Rhinolophus ferrumequinum: one gene and its partners. The protein of the gene in region 3 interacts with the protein of the main gene of each other region in a pairwise test. Links are inferred from orthologs where the notes say so. Each region holds a gene or a part of one and is shown on either strand. Other genes may lie near its edges. The genes, in order: ACTG1, SSNA1, EHHADH and TRIM41.

Region 1 (7,898 bases), on a different chromosome or scaffold from region 3:
TTGGTAGGTCAGGGATGTGCCTGCCGGGTGAGCTGTGGCCTGGCAGGCACTCTGCTTCTGGTTTTGGCCACGTGCTGCGGTGAAGGGCTGTGTCTGTGAAACAGCTGGAAGCCCGGATTCCTGGGTTTAATCCTCCTTTCCCATTGCAATCTGTGAACATGGTTCACTGAGAGTGAGGACGATGCAGAGGGGGACATTGTCAGTCTCCAGGCAGTGGTGTCACCTGTCTGCAGAGCCCCAGGGAAGCGTGGCCTGGGGGGTGCCCTCAGAAGCAGAGTGAGGACCTGCGCCCATTGCTGCCACTGCTCCTAGAAGTCTTGGGTGTGGCACACAGTGTCACTGAGCGAGTGCCTCTGAATTGTCACCAAACATTGAATGCCTGTGGATGTCAAGGCTGAAGGCCTGGGAAACCTCAGCAGTGAGGCCTGGGGGCGAAGGTTGGCTGGGCCACCCGATGGCCTCCTGTCCCCAGACCTGCGGTCCAGCATAGGAGGGCCACCATCCTCTGCACCCTTCTCGTCACTCGCCCATCTTCTTTGCAGAAGCTGAGGCACAGGGGGCCACAAGTGGCCCAGGGCCGAGCCCAGCCCAGACCCAGCTCCCCACTTCCAGTCCAGTGCTCTTCCAGGGGCCTCCTGGGTTCCTGCCGCACCATAGTGGGAACTGGGGAACCCCAGAGCAATTCCAGTGGGGCCTGTCTTCAAAAGGCCTGGAGTTCTCCATTGCTGAGGCAGCAGGCAGAAGAGGGGCTCAAGGGCCCTTGATCTAGGTGTCTCTATGTCTCTATGTGGGTGCACTGTGAGCCTTGGTTTACCTGTCTGTGAAGTGGCATAGTTGTGGTGCCTCCTCAGGCAGTGAGAACTGGATGGCACGAGGAGGCCTGGCCCGGAGCATCCCGGCACAGGACAAATGGCAGCCATGAGCACACAGCTCCAAACTCCACCCACAGTGGCGGGAGTGACCATACAGAATGTAGTCTGAATACTTCACAGGGCTTGGGGATGGGCACAGACCTCCGGGTGTGCCCCTGGACAGCTGGACCGCCTGTGCTGGTCTGCAGCGCTGGAGAACAAGGCCCAGCTGGGCACCAGACCAGACACAGAAGTGTGTGGCCCTGACCTTGGCCTGTGATATGAAACTCAGAGGCAGGCAGGAACCTGGCCTTGCCTTCCAGGGCAGCCCTTGGGGACCCCTGTTCCAGATAGAGCCACTCCCAGGGCTGCCGCTGCCTCATGGGAACCCGTCCAGTGCACTGGAGCGGGATTTAGGTGACACAACAACCATCTTGCATTTGATCTGTCCACAGGCTGAGAAGAATAGGCAGTAAGCTGAGGGCAGGTAAACTGGTTTTCTTTGGAATCTTTAAAAAAAGTTCTTATTATGAGATAATTTAGAGTTACAGAAAAGTTGCAAGGACATGAGTATTCCTGCAGCCTCTCCACCCAGTTTCCTCACTGTTAACATCTGTCATGGTACAGCTGTCCTACAAGATTGACCTTGGTATTTAGTATTCATTAAACTCTAGACTTCACTTGTATTGCACCAGTTCTTCCACCACCAGCCATTTTTGTTCCAGGATCCACCCCAGGACCCCATTGTCATACGTGGAGAAAGAAGGAAAGGCATTCCTGGCAAGTGGAATGGCACAGGCTAAGGCCAGGGGCAGGGACTCATTGCCAAGTTCCCTACCCCGTCTGCCTGACGAGTGGGAGGCAGAGGGTTTAGGGGGTGAGGGTGTGTAAGGGTGTGCTGCGGGCCACACTACCAGGTGCAGAGGTGACCGAGATCTTGGAGAATGTCCCCGTAGGCAGAAGCAGGGAGATGGCAGGCAATGTGAATCAGAGGGAGGAAGACTCGGGCAGGACCCCGAGCTGGGTTTGGGGCTGTCTCAGCAGGGCCACAGTTCCGTGCAAGGTGGCGCTACGCTACCTCCCTGCTCAGCAGTTTTCTCAGCCATGAAATGAGACCCAGGGAGGTCACAATAAATCCACCAAAGGCAGCAGCGCTGGGCCAGGAAAAAAGTCACATATTTCTTTCTCTGTGGCCCAAGTCTCCATCCTCCAGATGGGAGGGACACACCCACTTCTGGGCAGAAGGGCAATTGCTGACTCTCCCTCCTCTCCAGGGACTCCCTGATCATGGAGTCCGGGATGCCACATCCGCTCCTTCTTCTCCCAGGAAGGTCTGGCCCTCTCCAGCCTCAGGAGGGGTGGGGGCGGCCCTGAGTTTCCAAGAGCACAGTCCAGAGGTGACCTTGGGCAAGCCTCGAGTTGCCCAGTTGCAAAACAGAAAAATCTCGGTGCAGAGTGTGGTCCTCGCGCCAGGCTGGGAGACCTGGTTCTACCTGGGGCCTGCGCCCACCGCATCCACTCACTCCTGGTTTCCGGTGGTGCTTCCCAGGCGGCAGGCACCCCTCTCCTACCAAGCCAGGCATCCACCTCTGCATAATCCCACTCCCTGCGACCACTAGACCTCGGGGGCCGCAGGCACCCACACCCCCTATTTTCGCGGTTCGGTCTGGCACCGAGCAGCGGAGCCTCTGGGAGGCGTGGAGGGCCGGGGGTGGGGTGGGGAGCGACCGCCACCACCCCACTCCCTGCTCCCTCCGAGACGCCGGGGCCGCCCCGCCACCGCCCCTTTGTTTCGCTGGCCAATCGACGGCCTCCTTGACTAAATAAGGCGAGGAGCGCGCCCGGCGCCCCCCGTCCGTTACTTCCGCCTCCCTCCCGGCCGGTGACTCAGGCCCGGCGGCGGGCGGGGATGGGACTGCCTGGGACGCGGTTTCCCCGGCGGCTCCGAAATCGCCAAATATGGCCGCGCCGCGCGCCGCCGCGCCCCGCCCGCACACCTGCGGCCGCACCTTGACTCCCCCCGCCGGTGACACAGCGGCGGAAGAGGAAATAGCTCCTCCCCCCCGCATCCCAGTTCCTGCGGGTGGGGGGGATGGTGGACTATGGAGGGGGAACCCCGAGAATCCCGGGGTTCCTGGGCCCCGCCCCATTTCCCCCTGCGACCCTTTAGCGGTGCACCCGGCGTCCTGGCGACTGCAAGGTGGGGAAGAAGGAACTTGGAGGGGGGCAGAGATCTATAATCCTCTGTTTTCTCCACTGTCAGTAGAAGCAGCCCGGGCCAACCGGGTTCTCGGCACACACCAGACAAAGGAGAGCTAGGAGTGGGGCGGGGAGCAGGCGCCCCGGGGTGCCCCATTGAAGGCGAAGGGGCCTGAGTAGAATGTGGGACGGGTGGACACACAGCAAGGAAACCTTAGATAATTCCCCACCTCCTCTATGTCCTGTGTGTGACATCTTGGGACCCCCCTCCCCATGGATCAGTCTCCTCGCATCGCTGACTCCCATCTGGGGGGCTGAGCAGTCGTGGTTGTGCCCACCGCGCTAGTAAGGGTGGGTTTTCTGGAGGCCCAACCCCGGGGTTCTCCAATGGGTGGGGCATGCACCTGACCTGGAAAGCCCGGGGAGTCGGTGACCCAGCTAGGCCTGATGGCCATAGGCAAGGCCTTGGCGTCTGGGGGACTGCAGCGCACAGGTGAGCTGGGCGGCTGCTTTCGCTAGATGTGGTCACCAGCTGAACTTGCAGGGCTCCTAGGGCATGTGGCCCTGACCCCCAACCGTCAGACACCTGCCCGGAGCCAAACTGAGTGCCTGTGGCAATGATCGAGTCCTTTCAGTCTGCGCAGCGCCACTGCCACCCCTCTTGACCAGTGCTCTCCCTCATGCCTCCTCTGGTGTTGACACTGAGCCGTTCCAAAAGTTACAAATAAGCCCGAGGAAAGCACAGTACCTGCTTCCCCTCCGGGCATAGCCAAAGCACTGGCACCAGCAGGTGCTGCCAGGCCGATGTCAGGTCTTCCATCGCAGGCTCCTGGGGAAAGGGCACGCCCTGGACCCAGGAGAACCCACAGCCCCAGGCAGCCGGGGGCCAGAGCCAGGGGGCAGGGACACAGCGCGGTCGGCCTGTTTCCAGGAATCAGCAAACCCATCACAGCCCTGACCCGTCTCTAGTATCAACAGAGAGGGTCCCCTTCAAGTCTAGCGGGGAGTCAACCGTTCAGGCAATCAGGAATTCCCTTCCCTGCCTCAGTTTCCCTATAATGCCCACAAGTGGTTAGAAGGAAACAAAGCCCCATTCCCTCCCCAGCGGATGGGGGTAGGTTGCCCCACATCCGGAGTGAAGCCGGCGCCTGAACAATCAGGGCTGCGGTTTGAGGAGCAGGATGTGCCCTGAATGAGTAGAACCGGGCCTGTTTGCACCGCCAGGGACTCTAAGCAGGGCGCCCCCTTCTCTGGCGGAGGGGCCTGCGCAGTCGTAGCTGCCGTGTGGGACCAGGGGGCGAGGTCACGGCTCCCCGGGGTGCCCCAACACCAGAGTGACACATGGCGGTCGGCGGAGACCCTCACCCGACCCTCCCCCAGCCCGGCACCGGACCCGGGAATCGCCTTCGCGGCCAGCCTTTCTGCTGAGCCTGGGGAGGAGGCTCGCAGGGGTCGCGAGGGATGCACAGCCCCCCAGCGGGGCCGGGTCGCAGCGACACACCCCGACTTCGGGCGCGGCCCAGCCCCGGGCCAGGCAGTTTCGGGGTGAAGCCGGGCCCTCCCCCCACGACGCGCGGCAGTCCCGGGGCGGGGCCGGCCGGTCGGCCCCGCGGTCCTCTCCGCGATTCTCTCGCAACCCCTGAGGGCACTCGCCCGCCCCGCCCGCATGCTATTAGGTGCGGGGTCTCGGGCGCGGGGTCTCGGAAGCAGGGCGGGTGCAGGCGGGGCCGTTGGAGGCGGCGCGGGCGGGGGGCGGGGCCGGGCGCGGGGCCCCACGTGTCCCGGCCGAGCAGGCCAATGGGCGCCCGGCGTTCGGAAAGATCGCCATATATGGACATGTTCTGGGGCCGCGCGCGCCACCGCCCCGCGCGCGCGCCCCGCTTCGCTTAAATAGCGGCGGGGGAGGCCGCGGTCGGTCTCACTCGCTGCAGCCAGCGTCCGTTTGTAGTTCTCTCGTTGCTCCGCTGTCCGTTTCTCCGCGCCCCGCGACCGCCGCTTCCACCGGTAAGTGGCCTGGCCTTCGTGCCCCGGTCCCAGTCCGACCCCGTGCACCCTTTTTGTAGGTTCGTTTCCGGTCGGAGAAGCCCGGCGCGCCGCTGTCGCGAACAAAGGGTGGTCGGGGCGGACGGGTGGGCTGGGACGGAGCTGGTGCGGCGGGTGGGGGGGAGCAGGGCGGGGCCGGGCCGCAGTGCGGAGAGCCCCCAGCCGCGCCGCCGCGGAGGATTGTGGGGGGCGTCGAGAGGCCCGCCCGGTTCCAGACGGGGGCGGCGACCTCGGGGTGGGGGCAGGTGCAGCATCTGCTCGGAGACGGTCTCCAGGGGCTGTTTCTTGAGCACCAGGGCCCGTCTAAACTCGTGGCATCTTTACTCAGATCGCAATGGAAGAAGAAATCGCTGCGCTCGTCATCGACAATGGCTCTGGCATGTGCAAAGCTGGCTTTGCTGGCGATGACGCCCCCCGGGCCGTCTTCCCATCCATCGTGGGGCGCCCCCGACATCAGGGCGTCATGGTGGGCATGGGGCAGAAGGATAGCTACGTGGGCGACGAGGCCCAGAGCAAGCGAGGCATCCTGACCCTCAAGTACCCCATCGAACATGGCATTGTCACCAACTGGGACGACATGGAGAAGATCTGGCACCACACTTTCTACAATGAGCTGCGTGTGGCCCCAGAGGAGCACCCTGTGCTGCTGACCGAGGCCCCCCTGAACCCTAAGGCCAACCGGGAGAAGATGACTCAGGTAAGGGCTGCCCTGAGTCTCCTGCCCTCCCCTCCTTTTCACAAGTCATTTTCTGTTCAGCTTCGTTTTCTGAAATTCAAGTATTTCTTTCAATATTTCCAGGGTTCTGTTCCTCTCCTGGCATTTCCTCCCTGAAGTCTCAAGGTTTCTTATTTGTGTTTTTGCCTGCTTCCTTTTCTTTTCTCCACACATCACATTTGTGGCATGCTGGCATGCAGTGTGTGAGCATGGGGGGCCCGGGTCCCCGCCTATGACTAAGGAGCCCATTGCCTCTCGTCCAGATCATGTTCGAGACCTTCAACACTCCAGCCATGTACGTGGCCATCCAGGCTGTGCTGTCCCTGTACGCCTCTGGCCGCACCACTGGTATTGTTATGGACTCTGGGGACGGGGTCACCCACACCGTGCCCATCTACGAGGGGTACGCCCTCCCCCACGCCATCCTGCGTCTGGACCTGGCTGGCCGGGACCTGACCGACTACCTCATGAAGATCCTCACGGAGCGTGGCTACAGCTTCACCACCACAGCTGAGCGGGAAATCGTGCGTGACATCAAGGAGAAGCTGTGCTATGTCGCCCTGGACTTTGAGCAGGAGATGGCCACCGCTGCGTCGTCGTCCTCCTTGGAGAAGAGCTACGAGCTGCCGGACGGGCAGGTGATCACCATTGGCAACGAGCGGTTCCGGTGTCCAGAGGCGCTCTTCCAGCCCTCCTTCCTGGGTAGGTGTCAGGAGCTCCGCTTGAGGCTGCTCAGAGGCCTGCACTGTCTGCCCTTCACCTTGAAAGGGAGGCACGAGTGCTAAGGGAGAGCTTTGTCTCCTAGGTATGGAGTCCTGTGGCATCCACGAGACCACATTCAACTCCATCATGAAGTGTGATGTCGACATCCGAAAGGACCTGTACGCCAACACGGTGCTGTCTGGTGGGACCACCATGTACCCCGGCATCGCCGACAGGATGCAGAAGGAGATCACGGCCCTGGCCCCCAGCACCATGAAGATCAAGGTGAGTCAAGTGTAGCTGTGGCTTGGGCTGGGGGGCCTTGTTGGGAAGGCAGTGCCACGAGCTAAAGCCACGCTCTTGTCTCCCCAGATCATTGCCCCGCCGGAGCGCAAGTACTCGGTGTGGATCGGCGGCTCCATCCTGGCCTCGCTGTCCACGTTCCAGCAGATGTGGATCAGCAAGCAGGAGTACGACGAGTCGGGCCCCTCCATCGTGCACCGCAAGTGCTTCTAGGCGGACTGCGAGCGCATGCGCAGCGTCTGCTGCAGGAGTTGCCGGAAGTCTGTTTGCCCTGGCAGACGTGCTAGCCTCATGAAACTGGAATAAGCCTTCGAAAAGAAATTGTCCTTGAAGCTTGTATCTGATGTCAGCACTGGACTGTAGACCTGGTTGCTGATTTTGACCTTGTATTCAAGTTAACTGTTCCCTTGGTACATGTTTAATACCCTGTGCATATCTTTGATTTAAACCCCTAGTGCACGCGGCTCGGTCACTTGCTGGCTGAAGCGAGGACATGTTTATGCGAGAGAAGCCCAGTGGCTTGGTGATCTGCGAGACCATGCGTTTCTGGATCTGTGCAGGGTATTAATGTGCAGAGACGCCTATTCCAGGATTTCTCCAGAGGCTGGCAAGAGTCCTGAAGCAGTTGTCATTTCTGTCCTGCCGGTCTGACGGGGGTTGGGAAGGTCCGAGCATTAGGACCCCTTTTCTTTTCTTAGCTGATGTTTTCCTGCCAGAACACGTGGGTTGTTACTTCCCCTGAGTTGGAAAACGGTTTGCATTTACACCTGTAAATTTATTCATCCTTTTAATTTATGTAAGGTTTTTTTTGTACGCAATTCTCAATTCTTGAAGAGATGACAACAAATTTTGGTTTTCTACTGTCATGTGAGAATATTAGGCCCCAGCAACACGTCATTGTGAGGAAAATAAAGTGCTGCAGTAAACTGCCGGCTGCTGCTGCTGTTGTTGGGGGAGGGGTGGCCAGACCTGCCTGGGAGGGATTTGGGGGAGGGAGGGACAGATGTCCTCTGCTCAATTGGGCAACAGTTGGGTTTCTCCCAAACCTGCAGTGTGATTAGCATTTTTAGAACAAGGAGCCCCAG
Region 2 (5,563 bases), on a different chromosome or scaffold from region 3:
AAAGGAGGCTGAAGTGGAGGCCCCCAGCCCTGTAAGGACTGCACAAAACTGCTTCTTAACCCCTTCCCCAGGGCCGGCTCCTGGCCCTGGGCCCTGAGGGTGGACGGCGGTCGGCTGCAGGACCTGGGTGGAGGAGCCGCGTCTCCAGGGCGGCCTTGAGAGACGCGAGCAGCTGCTGCCGCTGGTCGGTCCTCTCCAGGCAGTACTTGAGGTCCTCAACGGCTGGCCGGGAGTCCGGGAAGTCTGCGGGAAGAGGGCCGGTCTTGCACACGCTCACGCACATGTGGCATGCACCTCATGTCGCCTGCCAGGGAGCCCAGAGGCAGCGGGGCCTGAAGGGTGAGCGCTGTTGCCCTCAGGCCTTCATGTACCCACACATTTGACCACAAGTGCCCTATGGGGCACACAGGCCATCCAGAGTAGGGACGTGAGAGGGCTCGGACCCCCTGACAGCTGCCCTGCTGGGGGCGGGGGGTGGGGTTGGAAGCTCTGCTCCAGGCAGCGGGGCCGACCTCGGATGACACTGAAGAGCTCTTCGATTCGCAGTCCAGCGTACACGCGGTAGAAGAATTTCTGCACGTGGCAACGCCAGCGCCGCAGCGTGCTGCCGGCCTCAGGGGACGCGGGCCTGGCGGGGCCATCCTGCAGGAACACCTTGCCCAGCCAGCCGACCACCCTCTCGATCCACTGTGGGAGAGCACAGGAGTGGCAGGTGGGGCCGAGCCCAGACTGACCCAGAGCGACCCAGAGCAGAGGCTGGGCGAGGCGGCACAGCTACCACCCTGCTGGCCGGGCCCTGGGGAGTCCCCAGGGCCACCTGCTCTAGAAGCCAGAATCACATTAGCAGGATGATGGTCAAAAGGGGCATGTCAGGCCCTCCACCAATGCCCCCCACGCCCTTCCACGTGCGACAGTGGCCCTGACCTAGCGCACGGAGCACATTCTCAGCCCCCCTGAGGACAGACACACCCTGGGGACTGCATACACGACCAGCCCCTACATGCAGACAATGCAGCATCCAGCGAGAACATTTCTGAGCACATCATGTACGTCTACAAGACATACTGCCACGTGCTCTCGGGGATGCACACGTCCCCCCAGCAGACTGTCCAACCACCGAGAAGACCACCCGACACTCTGCAGCCTTGGGGCTACCCCATCACGCTTCCAGGCCCACGCCCACTCCAGACCACTGCTGTGGGACAGCTCTACGCCCCCATGGCAGCTAACCTGTACCCTAAGGAGGCAGACTCCAAGCTGGTCGGCACCCCATGGTTTGGGCCAGGTCCTCCGTGACTCTGAGGAGTTCAGAGCAGAACCCAGACCACGCCCCAATAGCATGGGTGCCCTGAGGCCCCTCACTGCCTCCAGCCACGTGATTCTATACAGGCCTTGCTGCGCACGTCGCAAGCTCTTCCTGGTTGTCGCTGGGGGGGGGGGGTGGGGGGGGGGGGGGGATAAAAAGGCCCACAGGGACCAGCCTCCACCCAGCAGTAAGACAGCTTCAACCACCCGTGAGGTCCTGGCTCACCTGGCCTCCACGTTCGGGCTACTTCTAAAGCCAGGGTGTCAGGTTTGCCAGAAACCTATTCCCCAGTCCTAACGGGACACAAACCAAGAGGGGGCCATGTGGAACTCACCTTGTGGAACTCACGCAGGAAGGAGCGCTCGTACTCGCCCCGGCAGCGGTCCTCCATCCGCTCCCGGGTCACCTGGTGCAGGGTGGTGGTCACGGCCTCAGCACTGACCCGCTCCAGCAGACTGAGCCTGTGTCTGGAGGAGAGCCCTGCCCATGGAACGTGCACAGCGCATGGGCTGCACACACCACCCCCACACCCAGCACACACCTCCCATGGCCCTCCTGGTGGAGGCACATGGTACACAGGGCTTTGAGGAAGAGCTACTGGGAGGAAACAGCACTGGCAAGGCCCTGACCATCCTCCCCAGCTGGCCTTTCTGCATGGGCTGGGACGCTGACCTTGCCCATGTGAGCAGCATGTACGATTCAGGGGCCAGTCTCATCTCCCAGAAATGGCTCGGAAACAACAACTACACACATTGCCACCTGGCCACATGTGTACACATGCCATGGTTGGTGCCGCTCAGGGCCAACCCTGGCTTACAATGGCAAAGGGACTCAAGATAGGAAACGTGAAAGAATGCTTGTGTGTGACTCTCATCTGGGGCGAACCCAGCAGACATCATTTGGGGCCTCCCTGATCCCTACCAGCAACAGGACCACTTCCTAGGTCCAGGAACAAGACCCTCTCCCTAACAGCTGCACTGTTGGCACTTTTCTCAACGTGATAAAACTGTCGTAGTGGCCACAGAAGGTGGAGAGCCAGTACAACAAGGCATGGCTCTAACAACAGAATCCTTTCCTCTTCAAAGGGAGGTGTCTGCTTGCCCAGCATGCCAGCCTTATCTCCAACTTGTTCCCAAAAAGAAGAAATAACAAGCCCACCTTCTGCAATTACAGGACAGGGTGAGCACCACTGCTCCCCCACAGCCTATAAAAGGCACAGTTGAATTCTGCACGGCCCAAGAACCTTGGAATCACACAGGATCTTAGTGAAAAAGTGTGAAACCTTGGGCTAACTTGAGTCACAGACAGACACGCCTGTGTTCAGGACAAAAGGTGTTACAGCGCAAGGCTCTTGTGGACCCTCCCTGTCATGTCCATGGCGACCAGGACAGGTGGCAGAGACCCCAACTAGCTCACCAGCTCTCTGCAGAGGCCAGCAGGGCCCAGGGGTGCAAGCGGGAATCAGAAGAACGGGCCTGGCCCGGGCGCGAGTACTCACAGGACCTGGCTGAGCTGATGGAACTGCTCCAGGGCCTGGCGGCACCAGCACTGCTGCTTGTCACTGCCGCACCCCGCACACACTGGGCTCTGCAGAAGCCGGTAGTACCGGCGGCGGGCATACCTGCTGTCCAAGTCCCCCTCCAGTTCCGGGTCTGTGCCCCCTTCCCCTTTCCTCTTACTCTGCAAGTAGACTCTCAAGAAGCGCCCATAGAGGCGCTGGACCATCTCCTGAAAGCTTCTGGGGGTGGAGAAGAACAGCACGCCCCGCAACGTGGTGTGGACCTTCTCCCGCAGCCCCTGGGCGCCGGCGCCCATCAGCAAGCCCAGGCGAGTCCATTTCTCCAGGAGCTCCAGGCTACGCAGGTAGGGGTCCAGGCGGCTCTCCAGCAGGCCGAAAGCGTCGAGGAGCAGCAGAAGGCACTGGGGCTCGTCGGCACAGTTCTCCCGCTGGGAGACGGCATTCCAGAACTCGAGGGAGATGTTGGCCTGCAAATCGTTCTGCAGCACCTCCACGAACCACTCCTCCAGGACCGAGTGCAGGCCGTGGCCCTTCAGAACCTCCACCGCCGCCCGCAGCTCCTCTTCCTTGGGAGGGACCGCACCGCTGGTCCGGGAGGATGCCTGGAATGCAGAAAACCGTGAGGAACAGGGGACACAGCGTAGAGGTGGCAGAGGTGGGGAAGGGACAGGGCGCAGGGGCCGCTGCGGAAACTCCGCTGCCCCTCCTCGGCGGCGCTCGGATGCTGGGTCGGGGTGCACGCCCTCATGCAGCGCGCCGGTCCGGGGAACGCCGCGCAGGCCCGCCGCCCTCCCCCGGGCCTCACCAGTCCCAGCGCGGCCGGCGGCACCAGCCCGGTGCTCACGGTATTCCAGGCCGCCAGCAGCTGCTGTGTCGGCCCGGGGCGCTCCGCCGCCGCCATCAGCACCCACCAGCATCCAGAGCCGCTCGGCGCCGCGCGCGCTGATGACGCACAGCTAGGCTCGCGCGCGCGCAGCGGTGAGGCGAACGGCAGGCGCGCGGAGATGACGTACTCGATGCGCGCGCTGTTGAGAGGCAGTGCGCAGGCGCGGGCGGCGTTGCAGGAGCGGCGGTTGGAGTGGCCGGCGACCATGACCCAGCAGGGCGCGGCGATGCAGAACTACAACAACGAGCTGGTCAAGTGTGAGCGGCCGCGCGGCGGGGCCTGCCGGGCAGGCGGGGAGGGCGTGGGGTCGCCGGCTTGCAGGCCCCGGCAGTAGGTGGCCCGCAGCACACGGCCAAGTTAGTTGTCCTGTGGCTGCGAGGGTGGCCCGGCCCGGACGGCGCGCAGGCGGTTCGGAGCTGCCCAGCGCACAATACCTAGCTCCTGGTGTGCCACGCACCAGGTGCTAGGTATCTGTGGACTGAGGAATCGCTTGAGCTCGCACTGCCTCCAGGCCCAGCGCCCGGTGGCCTCCAGTGGTGCCGCCTTTAACCTGAGACCCCTGGGAGCCCCGGCCGGCACCTGGTCTCTCTACCACCTTTCTGTCCTACAAAGCACTGGGATTCAGAGTAGATGGGATGGTGCTCTCCTGCCTGCCCTGTGCCCACAGCCCTGCCCCCGTCCGCCCACCCTAGGCATCGAGGAGCTGTGCCAGAAGCGGGAGGAGTTGTGCCGGCAGATCCAGCAGGAAGAAGATGAGAAGCAGCGGCTGCAGAATGAGGTGAGGCAGCTGACTGAGAAACTGGCCCGCGTCAATGAGAACCTGGCACGCAAGATCGCCTCTCGAAATGAATTTGATCAGACCATCGCAGAGACCGAGGCAGCCTATCTCAAGGTGAGGCTCGGGACAGCTTGCGGACCTGTCTGCCATGCCCACAAACAGAAGTGACAGGACTGTGGCACGGCCAGGCCCGTCATGGAGTGACTTGGTGTGTCCCCGGTTGTTCTTTGCACCATACTCAGTACCCACCCTGTGGTTTCTTCCAGACTGAGCAGCCGAGCGGCAGCAGCAGGGGCCAGAGTTAACCTGACTTTCCAGGGAGTGAGGAAGGGGCTTTGGGCTAGACTCAGAGGGAAAAAAGGCCCTGCCGACCCTATCCGCCTGTCCCCTCGGGCTTCCTCTTCGCTGGGCTATGGGTGCTTCTGACAGGAGGGACAGTGACAACCATTTCGTGTCTGTTCCCAGATCTTGGAGAGCTCACAGACTCTACTTAGTGTTCTGAAGAAGGAAGCTGGGAACTTGAGCAAGGCCACAGCCTCAGAGCAGAAGAGCAGTGGAGGAAAGGACAGCTGACGAGGCCCAGGAGGGGAGGCTTGCCTCCACTGCGCCCACCGATGGCTTGGCCCCCAGCAAGTCTGTCTTCAAAGCATCTTTGTCCTTCACGACAGCAACTGCTTTCTCTCACCGTCTTGCGTGCCGAGAGAGGCAGCTGCCAACCTCCACTGCCCTTGGGCGCAGCCCACCAGGTGGGGGTACTAGCCATGCACTCACACGGGCAACAGGGAGGGTGGGCTCTGGGTCAGCTCCGCGTGGGGCCGCTCTCAAGCCCCCACATCTCCCCAGGTTGTGGGAAGGCCCTGCTTCTGGCCTCAGCATCATGGGAATCCCCTTATGTTTTCCCTCTGCCGGCAGGTGCCCAGGCCAGGCAAGTGGCGGAGGGGCTGGGGCCCTCCTTCACCTCAGGGCTCACTCTGGTGGCCTGTGACTGTCAGTAAAAGTTGTCTTTGTAAAGGTACATGCCAGTTTGCTGCCTGTGTCCTGTTGGGAGAGGGCGGCTGCCCGTTACACCCAGAA
Region 3 (7,848 bases):
TAGCAGTGGCTAGCACACACAACAGCTCAAAATATGATTGGTTAAATACTTATTCATAAAACAGTTATCAAATAGCCCACATCATATTTACAAGGATTCCATTATCTAACCTTGTTAAATCTCCCTAGGAATTGCTATACAACATTTATTTTAACTTCCAATGTATTAATCCTCTCAAAAACTGAAATAAAATGAATTTGGCATATCGTGTTCTTAGTGAGCACAATATATCTTTGATGATCACAACTTCCTTTTCACAAACCATCTCCTTAATGAATTATTCTAAAATTTCATAAGGTATTGATTTAAAACTCACCAGTCTACAACATCTTTTATCATCTCTTTGCCTATTCACAAATCAAAACATTTGCCCATCTTTAGTCTTCTGGCCCCTTTCCTTTTACTTCAGATTTCTGAAAGCTATAATCATGTCCACATAATCTCCAGGCTTAAAATCAAGGCACTTTGATGGGGCAATCTGGAAATAAATAACAGATGCTAGAATATTTGATGATTCTATTAATGGAGGTCTGAGTTATGCCAACCTATTTTATTTTGACCTTAGCAATGAATGGTCTATTAGTTTGAATCCTGTTTGCTATTCAAAGCAGATGGAAATATAATGCTAGAGAAAAGACACAATTCAATTTGATTCATCTCAAGGGAACATAAGACTAATAATGGCTAATAATATGACTATTTTTACTTAGTGGCTTTCGTAAGCCAGACAGATTCTAAATGTGTATTCACTCACAAAGGGAGAAGACCATGCTTGGTGATAAAGAAAAATACAATATAACTCGTATTTAAGAACAACTAGCCTAATAATAATAATAATAATAATAAAAATGGACAAGAAGTATTGACGAGAATGTGAAGTTGAAAACCTTATACATTGCTATATGGATTGTACATCAAACAATATGGCAGTTCCTCAAAATGTTAAACAGAACTGCCATATGAGCGAGCAATTCTACTTCTAGGTATGTACCCAAGAGAATTTAAAACATACTTTACACAAAAACACATACATGAAATGTTCATAGCAGTATATTCACATGAGTCAAAAAGTAGAAACAGCCCAAATACCCATCAACCGATGAATGAATAAACAAAATGTGGTATGTACATACAATGAACTATATTATTCAGTAATAAAAAGGAATGAAGTACTGATACATGCTACAACATGTATGAATCTTAAAAATATTATGCTTAGTGAAAGAAACCAGACACAAAAGGCCACATATTGTGTGATTCTATTTATATGAAATATCCAGAATAGGCAAATCAGTAGAGACAGATTAGTGTCTCTGTTAGAGTAGATTAGTAGTTGCTAGGGGATAAGAAGAAAGGGGAATTGTAGGTACAGGGCTTCTGTTGGGGTGATTAAAATGTTCTGGAATTAGAGTGTGGTAATGGTACACAACTTTGTGACATTAAAAATCACTGAATTGTACACTTTAAAAGGATGATTTGTATAGTATGTGAGCTATATCAATAAAAATTAATTATCCTTTTAAAAAAGTGAAAGGAAAGAAATATCTTTATGGATAAGAAATAAAGAGTAAATATGAGTTAGGGAAACATGAATATGACCTGACTGATGACAGGTGCAGAATCCAGAGAATAGGTGCTACTTATAGGGCCACTGACAAATACGAAGAATGCCCCGAACAACCAACAGCGTGAAGAACTAGGGATACCTTATCATATGAGAAATGATAGTTCCTGAGAAAGGGCCTGAAAAGGAACAGACTTAAGACAGAATTTGTTAACATCTTTGAATATTTGCTGAAAAATAATTTTATTAATGGGAGACTTAACGTATAACAAAAGTAGACCCAGGGAGTAATTATTTCTGAGAATAAAAGTAGAATCAGGGAGTTGAAAGTCCTAAGGACTTATTTCAATCAGTGAAGATAATGACTGCATCATTTTCACCACAGTTGGGTTTTCTTTAGGAATCCTGATAGCTGGTTAATCTTCATCATTATGATACTAAATATATGTGTGTGTACACGAGTGTGTGTCTCTCCAAGGCTCAACACTTGAGCAAGCCACTTGAAATGCTAGAAATGGTCATTTACTGATATTACTGGTATAGTGAAGAAAATATTTATATCTCACCTTTTATTTCAACACTTGCGTGGGCAGCTTTTCTTAAGCATCAGCCAACTTCCCTGTTCAAGAGTGTACTCACTGCTCATTGCTTCACTGTTTTAGTCAGGACAAGTTGAAATGTTTTAACAAACAGACCTACATTTCTTTCTTTCTCCTGTAGCAGTCCATGTTGGTTCCAGTCAATGGGGTACCTCTCTCCTCAAAGTTGTTAGGGCGGTCAGGCTTCTATCTCTGGCTCTGTCTTCCCCTGGGGCCTGCGGTCCATTTGTATCCCACATTAAAAGGGGAAAGGACAGGGAAGAGCACATGTGAGATTTTATCACTCCAGGTGGAAAGCAATATTTTGCATTTGTTCTGGATAAACCTGATTGGTTTACCAGAGATTTCAGCTCTGATGGACTTATGCCACTGTGAAATGAAGTTTCACAACACAATACCCTGTCAGTTTCCAGGGCTTACAGGTCACCCATGCAGGGAAAGCCAAGTTTAGGTAGGCATCTCTGTTCTTCCTGTGAGTACACAGTAAGCACATAAATTTTAATATTTACATTCTTTTATTTTTCCTGAGATCTTTAATGAACCACTTCTGATCCACTGATCTATTTTCGTGAACTGCAACATAATGACAACAATGACAAAAGCATATTTAACAAGCAAAAGCAGTAACATGCAAATGATGTGGAAGTGCCTTAGCCAAGAGGAATGGCATCCAGTTAAGTAGCACTTACTGAGACAAATTGAATGAGAAGACAATTTAAGCATATAACAATTCATCACAATCATCAAGCAACGATCAATGGTCAAGCAGTCTGCAAGAAGCAGCATGGTGCCATCTGCTAAATTGGCTCGCCACATTCAGATTTGGCCCATAGGAGCCCAAAATAAATTTAGACACTTTATTATTTACATAGACAGCAAAAGAAAGGTCAGCGTGGTATCAGCTCCCTGTGTTCCTAGTCCCACAGGATGACACCAAACAGAAAGTGCTGGATGAAGGATGACAGGAACCAAGTTGCTCTGTTGTTGAGAAGCAGGGCAGGGTCACCACTTGCAGAAATCTGAGAGTAAGTGCCCTCTTAAATTTTAAATTTGATGGAAGTTTGCAGCTGTATCTAAGGGATGGGGGTGGAGGGACTCAAAGCAGAAAGTTCTGTGTTCAACTGAAACTAGGAGATAGATGAGAAATGATGTGTGTCTGACTCCTCCAAGGTAAAGATGAAAAATTGCCTCAAAATGGCTCCACGTCCTCCTGATGTCCCCTTGCTCCAGGAAGAGTTTCCGGCCATTCAGAGCTGTTATGCCTTGCCTACACAGCCTTTGTGGAGGCATTCAAACTTGCTAGCATGCCACGGCAGAGTTCTTCTCCTAGAGACCAATGTCTGAAATAAGAAGACAAAGTTTAATTTACTGCTTCCTATAATAAGGGAAAGCTCTGCAGGTCATGCACAGGCTCTCTGAGCAAAGCAAACTGCTGATCTTACATCGAGGTTCTGGGCAAGGTAGAGTTCAGGGACTGGCGAACCTGCAGAGGCATTAAAGATTGATATGACCTGTAAGAAGCTGGTTGTTGGCACCCAGAGGCATTGGCACTGGGCTGTTTGTGACTGGTACAAGTGAGGTCTGTCTTTGACAGATTGGATCCCTTCTGACTGCTACTTGTTTCCAGGGCTTCAAGGCAATTGGCATTTTCACAGGAGCTGGAGCCTGTTTTGAATTCCAAGAAGTGAAAGAATATCTATGAAAATAGTCCTTAATCATTGTTAAAATTTGTGGAACACCAGTGAACAAACTCATTCCGTTGTTCTTTTCCTCTGAAACTTCCAGACTGCCCTCGGACCACTTCGCAGACTGTGGAGACCACCAGAAGCCAATCACATCTAAAAGTCCAACCTGAACTTTTAGAGAAAAGGGTTTGAGCCTTGTTTATCTTTAGTCACCTGCCTAGACCTGGCCCATAATAGGTGCACAATTCATGAATGAATGCAGTATTAGAAGTCACAAGCCTAAGGAATGGCAGAAGAAGAAATATGAGGACTGGGCAGAAAAGAAACTCAGGTTTCACTAGGTTGCCATACGACTGTTCTGTAAATACTCAGTTCATGTCAGTAGGTGAACATTTAGGTGAAATGCATGATGCATGGATTTAATATTCCAGGTTTGTGTCATATCACGTAATTGTCAGGACCCCATATATCGGTCCCTGTTAAGGATCATGAAGATGAAAATTGTGATAAGGACAGCTCCACAACTTAGTGAACTCAGAATTTGCCCAGAGAAATCGGGTTTGCAAACCTCCACTTGCTGGCAATTCCACCCATTTTCCACTGTCCTCCTAGATCTGCTTTGTGATGGGAGCAGGTAGGGAGCCAATAAATAGAAAGAGGGATCAAATGTACGGTGATGGAAGGGGAGCTGACTCTGGGTGGTGAACACACAGTGTGATTTATGGATGATGTGATACAGAATTGCACAACTGAAATCTATGTAATTCTACTAACAATTGTCACCCCCAATAAATTAAAAATAAATTAAAAAAAAAAAAAAAGAAAGAGACGACGAACTTTTGCAGACGCGGAGCTGGGGTCAGGGGGAGCAGGAGGGCGGCGACGTAGTGTGCGCGTCGGTGCGGGGGGGGGGGGGGGGGGGGCGGCCGGGAGGCGGGAGGCGGCGCTGGGCTCCCATTGGCCCCGCGGGCGCCCCTCCTCGCGGGGCTGGACCGGTGCGCAAGGAAAAGTGGCATCGCCCTGCGGCGGCTGGCGGAGGCGACTTCAGCGACCCGGGAAACATGGCCGAGTATACGCGGTTACAGAACTCTCTGGCGCTGATTCGCCTCCGAAACCCGCCGGTCAACGCGATCAGGTAACGGGCTCGGTCGCCTCCAGCCTGGGGACAGCGGGGCCTTCCCCGCCTGCTTGCTCAGGAGGCTTTGACTCTCCCCTCCTGGTTTAAACGGAGAAAGACACTGACTCAAATTGAACGATGGCGTTTGCCAGGGCCTTTTACATAGGTCAGCTTGGTGAATCGTCGCAGAGAACTTTCATGCCCATTTCGCTGGGGAGGAAACCAAGGCTGAGAGGCAGACAGATGGCTACGAAGCGGGGGAGCTGGACTCGAACCGGGTCTGCGCATGCCAACTTCGTGCTGAACCCTTCTGCTTGCTTGCAACTTTGACTTATGTGGCCCACTTTGTGTTCCAAAGGTCTTAGTGCAATGCTGGCTGGACCTTGATCCCTCATTTCTCAACCTGGAGCCCAGGCAACCCTTACATGTGTGACTGAAAGCTTTAGAAATCTGACCGTGTGGCTTCACATTTTAAAAAATCAGTAAAGGTCCTCATTGCCAACGCAGTGAGGAAAAGAGAATTGAGCCCGGGCCCAGAAAATGCAGTCGTATCTCCTGATCTGTTTAAACCTCAAGGCCTTAGTGCTTCAGTAGAAGAGTAAGAGTAAGAGTAAGATTATTAAATACCATTTTCTGAAAAACTGTGCACTTTATCTTTTATTTCACCGTGGAATACCTTTCTTGTTAAACTCTCTTACCCCAGATTTGTACAATGCACTTACAGCATTACTTTTAAAACTGAGATTAATGCTGCTTTTTGAAAATTAATGAAGTTATTATATAGATTTGGTCATCCCATATCTCTGAAAAAAGTATATGATCGATCAACCTAGGAAAGAGCCACCCATCCACAGGGAGGAAAATTAGTAGAAGTTGTAATTTACGATGAATATATACAGTATAGAGAGAAAGACCTTTGGTTAAAATTCTTACTATCACATGCTGCTGGAGGAAAAAAAAAAAAGGCGAAATGAGACCTGCTAATTTTAACTAATTTTAACTGAATTTTTATCCTATCATCCGATTTGATTTTATCATTTGTATTAATATTATAATTCTCATTTTTAATACGAATTATTACATTGAATAATACAAAAGAATTGCAGAAATAAAATCACACAAGGATGATCATTTACTTGCCATTCTCAGAAAAAAGTAAAATATTCGTTATTTTGATTTTGATGAAGAAAAACATAAGTAATATAATTACATACCCATTTTGGACGTGTCTATATTCTCATTAGAATTATTAGATATTAGGACCGTCTGCCTCAACCTCTGCCCATAATGGGAAACCATGTCCATCAGGAACTTGAGGGGGGATGTTCTACACTCTAATACCCATAACTAGGGATATTTTCTTATAATTATTTTTTAAAGTTTATAGTATTTAATCCACCCTCCACTGACCTTGCAGGAGAAATGTTACTATCTGCCTCATAAAAGTTGTTGTGAAGTTTAAATGCTAGAGATTATAAACTGGCATTTAATAGCTGTTAGCTATCATTATTTCTGTTAAGCAGAGGCCTGTTACAAGCCCCTACCACGGGCTCTGCTGCTCAGGATTCATTTCAGATTTATTACAATTTCCCCCACTTGGGAATAAATACTTTCCTGCCCTTTTTTCTATCTGCTTCTGAAGTTCTGTTTTAGGTAGAGGTGTACATCCCAGCACGTTCATTCAATTTAACAGGTTCCCGATTTTTTTTTTCTTTGTACTTTTTCTCCTCCTTTCTTCCTTCCTTTTCCTTGTACTGTTTCTAATTTTATGTGGAAAATTATCTCTTCCTAGATCACTAAGAGATTCTTATCTGAAGAATTTTTGGGCCCAAACACATAATTTAAATCCTTTGCTAGTTTAGCAAGTCATGTTTCCTTCAATTCAGATGAATGCTAACCCTCTTTACAAGTGTAGGACATGCCTGATTCCTAGGCCTATCTCTCAACTCAATGGCTTTCACACTTTTTTTTATTGTCATTTCACATGGAAACCACATGTTTTACAAAGCAACCTAAACACACACACATACAAATATATAACCGAAAGCTAAGTTTCACAAAACAAAACTTATCTTTACGTGTTATATAGTTCGATATATTCTATTTTCTCCTCTTTTCTATTTCTTTGTTTTAAAAAATGCTGGTCACAAGCCACAAACTTCATTTGATGGCATTCAGTTTAAAAATAAAAACTGTCACAAAAACCATATAGTCACAGAAGCTAAAGAGTTTTGGTCAGCACTCTTTAACTGTTATCTTTATTCTAAACTCCATTCCTTCATACCTGACAATATTAAGAGGACAAAACAATTTCTTAACCTCTGTGACCTTGACATTGCTACCAGGCTGTGGTCCCTTTCACTAGACTTGAATCTAGTAAAGTTGTATCTATTACAGCCATTTTCATTTTTCTTTATGTCCTGTATTTGATTTTGACAAAATTAACAAGAACATAAGAAATAGAGTAGGGGTTGGATGAAATGGGATAAACCACCCTCTTCTCCTCAGTGGCACTGATTAAGCTCATTTTGGCTAATTTTTACCCAAAAGGAAATATGTGCCTTTTGGACTTCTCAGTATTATGGATGGTTCAGAATCTGTTTTTTGTTAACCAGTGTATTTCTAATTAACCAGTCGAAGACAAGAGGTTTTGTTTGATTTCATCTAGTTTAACTGATGAAAAGTAACAAGGTGAAAGGGGATTATCGTATACAAGGGCAAGTATCTCCCTTATTCCGTCAGGTTTTAACTCAGAGTTGCTCGTCTGACCAATCTGGCTTTTTTAGAAGTTTGCTGGTTTTTTTCATTTGTATTAATATTCTTTTTCCCACGCTATATGTTAAAGAACAGACATTGTACTCAGAATTCCCAGGCAAAACTGAT
Region 4 (7,777 bases), on a different chromosome or scaffold from region 3:
ACTGTGCCAAGCTGGTGTTAGTTAATGTACGTACAATGTACGTATCTGAAAGGAATAAAGTATCTGACTGTAAAATAGCCTATAAGTTAGAAAGAGAATCACTCAAATTAGTTCTATATAATAAAGCTTATGTATTTACATTTGCTGATCAGTCAGTGTCGGATTATTTGTGTCTATGTGACCTCCGATTGGACTGGCATTCAACAGATGTGGCTAACACAAATTAAAATCCCGTTTCAGAAGCTCTTTGAAAGAGTCCCGTTGGGGGAGCGTGAAGGAGTGGGATGCCCATGGATACTCCACCCTGGGATCGAGTTAACAAAGTGACTGCACATTGTTTAATGGGTACAGTTAACTAGGAACTGAGAGGATATTAAAGGGAAGGGCAAAAGGAGCTCATAATCTCCCCTAATAATGAAGGGCAATATTTCCAATGCACTGAGTCCCATACTAGGCTGGGCTTTCTAAAGATATTCTCTCCATCACTGATTCAGAATCTCTAGTGGTAGGGTCTACTGTAGTTTTGAAAACCTCCATGAGTAATTCAGACAATCAGCGGAGTTTGACAATCATTGTCTAGTCAATTTGTCACGAGGGGATGTAGATGTCTTAGCTATAGCACTTATTCGATAGATCAGAGGCTCTAGGCGTGTTTCTCTAAAATCGGGGTAATGATAATACCTAAATGAGGTTATTGTAGGAATCAGGAGAAGGTATGAAAACCCAAGTATGAAAACAGAAGTTACAAAACAAAAAAGCTCTACACCAACCACAAGGAAGCTACTCTCTCCTGTTCCTGGTCCCACTACTTCGCTAAGCATTGCTATTAGAGCTGGCTGTCTCAGGGCCAGATCTCCTTTATCTATGTCCAAAAAAGTCAGGATCAGAAGTAGGGGGCAAGATATTAACCAAAGTAGAATCTGTCTCCAAGAAGTTACACGTCAAAAAAGTCAAACTAACAGACATCTAAAGAGTGGTGTCGTTAACAGTATTGGAGGTGTCATAACAGTGTGTGAGGGGGGTGTCATAACTAGTAGGTGTGCGGCCTGTGTATATTACTTAAATCTCTCTCTACTTCCCGGTCTGTGAAATGGGAATAGAAACCATATCAAACTCACAGGATTGCTCTTTCTTTTAAATAAGATAGTCTATGAAAAGTGCTTAGTACAATGCCTGAGGTACACAGTATATTTCAGTAAATACTAACTTTTAATCATGGACAAATTAAAGTTCAAAGACATTCAGGGACTTGCCCAAGTGAATAGGTGCAGAGCCAGAACTTATGATTTAAAAGTCTCTCCCTTTTTTCTCAATTCCCAGGAAGGTCAGAAGTTCTGGCCAGCACATCTGAATGACACAGATCCAACAAAAGTCCTCAGGGAGTGAACCAAGCCACATTACAAGGTAGGGAACCCAAAAGTAGGCAAATGCAGAGCATTTGGGTCTACACTAGGAGTCATTACTACGCTCCTGCTCCTCAGAGCCCTTTCTTGTTCTTTGAGATCCCAAGTTCTTCCCATCTCTAGGGTCTCAGTCAAAGGCTTAAGATTCACCAAAAGGAAAATGAGACCAGTGGTAAAGCCCTAAGGGCCTGTCACCTGCACTCCTACACTTAGGGACATTGGGACGTGTGAAACAGCAGTGGCTTTCCCCCAGGAGAAACACAGTCCAGTGACATGGCATTGCCAGCTTTGCACAATTTCCTTTGAGAAAGCCAATCTTTCCTGGTCTTCTCTGTGTCTGCTTTGTCTGTGTACAGGATCCTTCTCACTCTAACCCACGTTGGTGCCAATAAGTGCTTAGATAAGGAGAATCAGCTCACTAGAACATGATGCTCTTTGGAGGGAGACATTTCCTTTTCCCAGCTCCTCTTCCTTCCTCTCCTCCCCCACAAAATTCCCATCTTCTAGTTCTCTCACCTTGTACTCCTGCACCACCTCCTCCAGTGGCACCACGCTGTGCTGTTTGTGGCTCCTGGATTCTCGGCACACCACACAGATGGCCTCTTCGTCCACCTCGCAGAAGAGCTTCAGGGCTTCTTGGTGTTTGGGACAAACGCCCTGCTCATTCCCACGGCTCCCCCGACTAGGGGCTGGGTGCATCTGCCGAATCACCTGAACCATGTTGGCCAGCTGCAGGTTGGGGCGGAAGCTCCGCCTGGGAAAGCTCTTCCGGCACTGGGGGCAGGTGAAGCACCTCCGAGGGGCCGGAGGCGGAGGCAGCGGCGTGGTGGGGTCTAGATCCTCTTCGTCGTCCTCCTCCAGCACTTCTTCCTCGTCCTCCTCGTCCTCCCCCCTCAGGTCCTCCTCCATGTCCAAGTAGTAGTCCAGGTCTTCCTCCTCGTCTTCCTCCTCCCACACGTAGTCCATGTTGTCCCAGTTGGATTCGCCCATGCCACCGGTCCAGAATACATCCTCCTCTTCCTCCTCGACCTCTTCCTCCAAGTCGCCCTCATAGTCTTCATCCCTCATGGGGGTGTCCCACCCCCCACCGGCCCCCACAGCCTCCACTTCCTCTTCTTCGCCGTCCTCCTCCTCCTCCTCCTCCCGGTCTAACTCGTCCCTGTCCTCATCCTCCCCTCCCCATAACTGGGTTACACACACTCGGCAGAAGTTGTGCCCGCACCCGATGGACACGGGGTCCGTGAAGTAATCCAGGCAGATGGCGCACACCGCCTCCTCCTGAAGGGTCTGCACAGGGTTGGGTGCCATGGCAACGGCAGCCATCTTAGTCTCCAGTCAGCTAGTGTAGGTGGTTGGTGGGGGTAGGGGCGGGGGCTCTTCCCTCAGACGCCCTGGCGACCCGGCCCCACCCCCAGCCCTGCCTCTTCACACCTTGCCTTAAGCGCAGCCTGAGAAATGTCCTCCCGACAACCCACCCCTCCACGGTTTCCCACTCCCAGACGACAATCGTGTCTCTGCCAGGGGAGGGGACAGAGCTGAGCGCTACCGCCAAGTCCCTCAGGTGGCCCTGAGTGCAAATCTGCCCCAACGCTCTCTTGGCCTCCTCATAAACCCCCGCCCCTCCTCACTTCCTGGCTCCGCCCCTTTACTTCCGGCCTCCTTCCCAACACTTCCGGCGCCTACGAATTACGCAAGCTCCCGCCTTCCCTCCACGGTCGCGCTAACGCCCCCTTTCCGCCCCGGGCCCACGAACGACAGGAAACGGCGAGGAGACGCTCTAGCACACACTCGGGAACAGGACAGGAGGGCTAGAATGATAATGGCCCACTTCTCTGTGGTGCGGGTCAGCGGGGAACGCAGATGAAACAGAAGGACCAGCCCCCCCCGTCCCCCACCACCGGGGATAAACTTTGGGAGACAGTGGAAGCCCTTGCGATCGTCCGCTCTCGGTGCTATGACCGCATCGGCCCGGCGCCATCCTACCGCCCGGACCCGGACCACTGCAGCAGGGATTCCCCACAGCCGATGCCGGAAGCGGAGGGGCGGGTCCGGGTGAGCACCGTAAAGTATTTCCGGCCCTTCTAGGCGGAGGACTTTGTTGTTTGAGGACTCGGAACGTCCCTCGGAGACGATCGGGGGAGGGGCCTGAAGAAGTGTGGTGGAGTGGGACCGGAGATCCTCCCCTTCCTCCGCACTGTAGTTGACATTTCCACACCTATTTCAGGAACTGCCGTCCGGTCAGTGTCTCATTATTTAGAAGAACTTTCCTAACTGCACATCAGTAAAGGGATACTGACAAGTTATTGCATGCACATTCACAGTGGAACACGCTTTAGCTGTAAAAAGGAATCCTTTTCAAGCTGTGTTATTAAGTGAAAAAAGCACGGTACTGAACAGTGTGTTGAGTATACTACCATCTGTTTAAAGAGAATGAGAGGATGTTAAGTGTATTTGATGTTTCTGTAATCCTGAGTTTACTCATATAAAATAAGGGTAATAGTTCCTATCTCAGAAGGTTTTGTGAAATTAGAGTTAATATTATGCAAAGCGATCAGAATGTTGCTTAGCACATAGATAGAAGGTTCAGCTACCCATTATGATCGTCGCGGTCATCTGTCTCCGGCAGAATACTATACCGTAGGAGCAGAGGGTCCCTGGGAAGGCTGAGGGTCCGTGATAGAAAGGACACTTTTTCGTATATGATATTCTATATCTTTTGAATTTTGAACCAAATCAGCGTTACTTAAAGGAAAAAAAAAACTTTCTAAATGCCATAATTCAACACTTCTAGAGTTGTGTACTACGCCTGCTCCGCGAAGAAAATACCTCGAGATCTGTTTTCTTGGGTTCCCTAAGAGTAGGGGCTCAGACTTTGTTTGTGGTATTAAATTTACTTGAGAGAATCGTATCCGGGATGTAGATAGAAGTTTATTAGTAAAGACTTGTGCGATAGAAATAATACTTAATGCTTTTTAAAAATATGTCCTTTCATTTAAAAAAAAAAAACTGGCGGGGGAAGTTATAGGGTCGTAATTCTTGTTCAGAATCCCCAGTGAGTGCTGGCGCTGTGTGATGCCAGGGCTGGGCACACAGAATTTGCCCCCTGCCTCGTGGGGAAACTCCAAGTGGACCTGTGCTTTCTAGGGGTGTGGTGCCAAAACTTCGTGGGTGAACTATAGTAGACTATTCCAGGAGCTGCGGCGAAGTGCGGCACAGTTCAGCGGGCCAGCGCAAGGAGCCCACAGTCCCGCTGCAACAGGGTTCGGTCAGCCTCGCCATTCCGAACTATGTGTAGATTCAGGGTGGTGTCGGTCAAGCTCTAGGAGCAACGGTTTCCGTAGTGTAGTGGTTATCACGTTCGCCTCACACGCGAAAGGTCCCCGGTTCGAAACCGGGCGGAAACAAGCTTTTTGGTCTAGTTTTCAGTTCTTTGGTCACTTCCTCATCCCACCATCCGGTGAAGTGGTCCTCACAAGGAGGGAAGGGCGTGTGTGTCTCGGTATCTGTTTCCGGGAATCAGATGGAGAAGCGGGAGGGCAGCAGAGCCGCGCTCACAGCAGACCCTTCATAAGTATTGGCAATGTAAACGCAGTCTTGAACCGCAGCTAATCTTTTGATCTTCCCCTCAAATTCCTCTCGGCCATCTTTCCCACCTCGATGGGCCTAGTGAGTAGGACAAAGCAGGCGCACAGCGGGCGCTCCGTAATACTTGTACAGTCAGTCGTTTCTTAAAGTGTGCCCACATTACTGTATATGAATCTTTGTCTCAGACAGAATAGAAGGATTCAGAGAGTTGCCCGGCTAGCTCAGTCGGTAGAGCATGAGACTCTTAATCTCAGGGTCGTGGGTTCGAGCCCCACGTTGGGCGGTGGTCATTTTGAGAAATGAACTTTTGATACAAAGGCATCTCCTGTGCTCTTCCTTCCTTTGGTTAAGGAAGGTGTCAGAGCTAGACAGGTGATTGCCAATAGCTGAACTATAGTACCCCTTGTTGGAATGCACCCAGCCCTAGGGCAGGAATGAGGGGAACAAATTCCTGCCATTGCACTTGCTAAAATCCACCTACTACTGCCCACTGATGAGGCGTCTTCTGTTTACCTGATGACCCTCCCGGGTGTCCCGACGAGTTGCACTGGACACGTAGCTTCCCAAAGCTGTGATGGGACTGCAAATCCATCCTGAACGTTCGTGAGCGTCCAAACCGTAGCTCTGATATGGTAGCACCTTAGTGTAGGTAGAAGTCAGGATTCTGCGCTCTCACCGCCACCGCCTGATTCTGATGTTGGGTAAAGAAAGAAGTGTCTTTTGGTGTGCGACCCTCATCTTCAGTGTGTTTTCTTTATGCTCGATTTTTAAGCCGTCGATCTTTTGCAAAATGTTGCCCCACACATTCCAGCCTTTGCATTCCCCCCACACATAAAGGATGTAACAGGAACATCCTCAGTTTACCGATCTTGTCATGAAATTTTCCCTTAACTTCAGTTGAAATTCATTCCTCTTATTGATTGTTTCTTTAGTCCTAAAAATTCAGCCCATTTTCTATTTTCCAGCTGGAGAATTCTCCCCACATACACAGCAGACCCTAAGAGAATTCTGCTGATCATATAAAGCTGGTTTATTAACCTTGCTAAGCTAGCATTGCCTTCAGTCTCAGAAGTGTGTCGAAGCAAGGGAGTTCTGAGAAATTGGTCAGAGTCTGTAAAATAGACAGAATTGCTAATTCAGTCCTGGCTCATGTGTCTCTGGGGAGTTACTGTCGTCAAGGTCTTATCTTGGACCATATGGGTCTAAACAAGCTGGTGTTGGAAGAGTGTGAACTTTGACATTTCGTCTTGCACAAATGCTTGTGGATTTGTTTGCAAATTGTGGTTTCAGGGTTTGTTTGTTTTTTTCCCCCCACCATCGTGACTGGGAAACATTGCCAAAAAAGTGCTGCTTTCTCATTAAAGGGAAAACAAAGTGGACAGACTTCTCTTCCCTTTCTCCCAACAAACTGAGGGCTCCCGGGAGCTTTTTGCTACAATTCCTGCTTTTCTCTCCTCCACAGATGCCACCGCAGCCTCGCCCGCCAGGCTCTCGGTTTGAAATCCCCCTCCGAGTAAGTGACCTACACTGCTCTTGGCATAGAGGAGTCAATGTCATCAGTTCAGATGTTCAGCAAAAGCATGGGACCCTGGTAAGATCTTTGGTCTCTATCAAGAGTGGTAATGAAAGGCCGCAGAAGCAAAGGGACTCGCTCTCATTTCTATTTTAGAGAGATCCTTCAGAAATGATGAGCAGGAGGTGTGAGGGAAGGGAGGCTGTGTCAGGGAGAGGGGCTGGAAGGGCAGATGTAGTCCAGACAAAAGGTGGCTGGTGCAGGGGTGAGGCAGCAGCCGGTGAAGGAGCTGGATGCATGGTTCGTACCCTCACCAGGAGAGGGGCTCCCAGGTTTCTGCTTTAGATGAGAGGAGAAAGAAGTAAATAGTAAATGGAAAATTCCACAAATAAATAATTCATAAGTTTTAAATTGTTCGCCATTCTGACTAGCATGATGAAATCTCATGCCATCTCAATCCCTCCAACCCAGGACATGAATCGTCCCTTTATCCAGGGTATCCATGCTGTATATGCTCGTTAGTCAGTTAGTAGCCATCTGGATTACCAGACTGCATGGTGGGGTATCTCAGTGCTTGTGTTCAAGTCTCCTTTATTTTACTTAATAATGGCCCCAAAGGGCAAGAGTAGTGATGCTGGCAATTCAGATATGCCACAGAGAAGATGTAAAGTGCTTCCTTTAAGTGAAAAGGTATGTATGTATAGGAAAAAAGAAACATATATGGGATTTGGTACTATTCCTGGTTTCAGGCATCCACTTAGGGTCTTGGAACATACCCCCCCTTGGATAAGGGGGGACTACTGTAATGAGTTCAATCTGTTAGAGGTTATGAGATGTCTAAAAGGACATGGCCAAGACACATGAATCAGAAGTTTGGGCAGAGCCGTCATTGCTGGAGCCATAGATGTGGGGATAGAAGTTGTCAAGCTGTAGATAAAGGAGAAGTTGGAAGAGAAAGAAAGCCAGCAACCAACATTCCACAGAGGCCAAGGAAGTCGAAATGTATAAAAAGGGGGAGAAAGATTGGTAGAATCAAAGTATGGTCTAATAAGGGAAAGCGGTAAAACATCCATGGGTTGGGCCACCTACAAGTCCCTGGTAACCTTGAACTAGACTTGGACAAGAGGACCTCCAGCTCTGGCTCTCTGGTGGAGAGGGGCTCCCAGGTCACAGACATGTCAAGGGTCCTTTGGTAGGACTCAGCCTCGGTTCCAATTCCTGGCTCCGTAGGTCTACAGGAATCAGCGTTGGCAATGGAAAAACATTTTGCAATACT

Evidence for each region.
Region 1: the proteins of EHHADH (region 3) and ACTG1 interact in binary tests that used the Homo sapiens proteins (3 or more experiments, as listed by UniProt). The two-hybrid records come from large-scale screens. The link is inferred for Rhinolophus ferrumequinum from reciprocal best matches to the Homo sapiens genes EHHADH and ACTG1.
Region 2: the proteins of EHHADH (region 3) and SSNA1 interact in binary tests that used the Homo sapiens proteins (3 or more experiments, as listed by UniProt). The two-hybrid records come from large-scale screens. The link is inferred for Rhinolophus ferrumequinum from reciprocal best matches to the Homo sapiens genes EHHADH and SSNA1.
Region 4: the proteins of EHHADH (region 3) and TRIM41 interact in binary tests that used the Homo sapiens proteins (3 or more experiments, as listed by UniProt). The two-hybrid records come from large-scale screens. The link is inferred for Rhinolophus ferrumequinum from reciprocal best matches to the Homo sapiens genes EHHADH and TRIM41.

The regions. Positions count from the first base shown.
Region 1 is NC_046304.1:54,455,621-54,463,518, reverse strand, and holds ACTG1 (actin, cytoplasmic 2), read left to right. Parts: upstream 1-4,895; 5' UTR 4,896-5,054; intron 5,055-5,421; 5' UTR 5,422-5,427; coding exon 5,428-5,790; intron 5,791-6,071; coding exon 6,072-6,510; intron 6,511-6,613; coding exon 6,614-6,795; intron 6,796-6,882; coding exon 6,883-7,026; 3' UTR 7,027-7,744; downstream 7,745-7,898. UniProt on the Homo sapiens protein: Actins are highly conserved proteins that are involved in various types of cell motility and are ubiquitously expressed in all eukaryotic cells.
Region 2 is NC_046295.1:83,294,225-83,299,787, forward strand, and holds SSNA1 (microtubule nucleation factor SSNA1), read left to right. Parts: upstream 1-3,916; coding exon 3,917-3,968; intron 3,969-4,403; coding exon 4,404-4,603; intron 4,604-4,954; coding exon 4,955-5,062; downstream 5,063-5,563. Other genes in the region: ANAPC2 (anaphase-promoting complex subunit 2), read right to left, coding at 124-243, 513-687, 1,641-1,773, 2,805-3,427, 3,631-3,918. UniProt on the Homo sapiens protein: Microtubule-binding protein which stabilizes dynamic microtubules by slowing growth and shrinkage at both plus and minus ends and serves as a sensor of microtubule damage, protecting microtubules from the microtubule-severing enzyme SPAST.
Region 3 is NC_046285.1:60,045,376-60,053,223, forward strand, and holds the start of EHHADH (peroxisomal bifunctional enzyme), read left to right. Parts: upstream 1-4,828; 5' UTR 4,829-4,909; coding exon 4,910-4,983; intron 4,984-7,848. UniProt on the Homo sapiens protein: Peroxisomal trifunctional enzyme possessing 2-enoyl-CoA hydratase, 3-hydroxyacyl-CoA dehydrogenase, and delta 3, delta 2-enoyl-CoA isomerase activities. Catalyzes two of the four reactions of the long chain fatty acids peroxisomal beta-oxidation pathway.
Region 4 is NC_046307.1:4,182,989-4,190,765, reverse strand, and holds the start of TRIM41 (E3 ubiquitin-protein ligase TRIM41), read right to left. Parts: upstream 3,008-7,777; 5' UTR 2,727-3,007; coding exon 1,920-2,726; intron 1-1,919.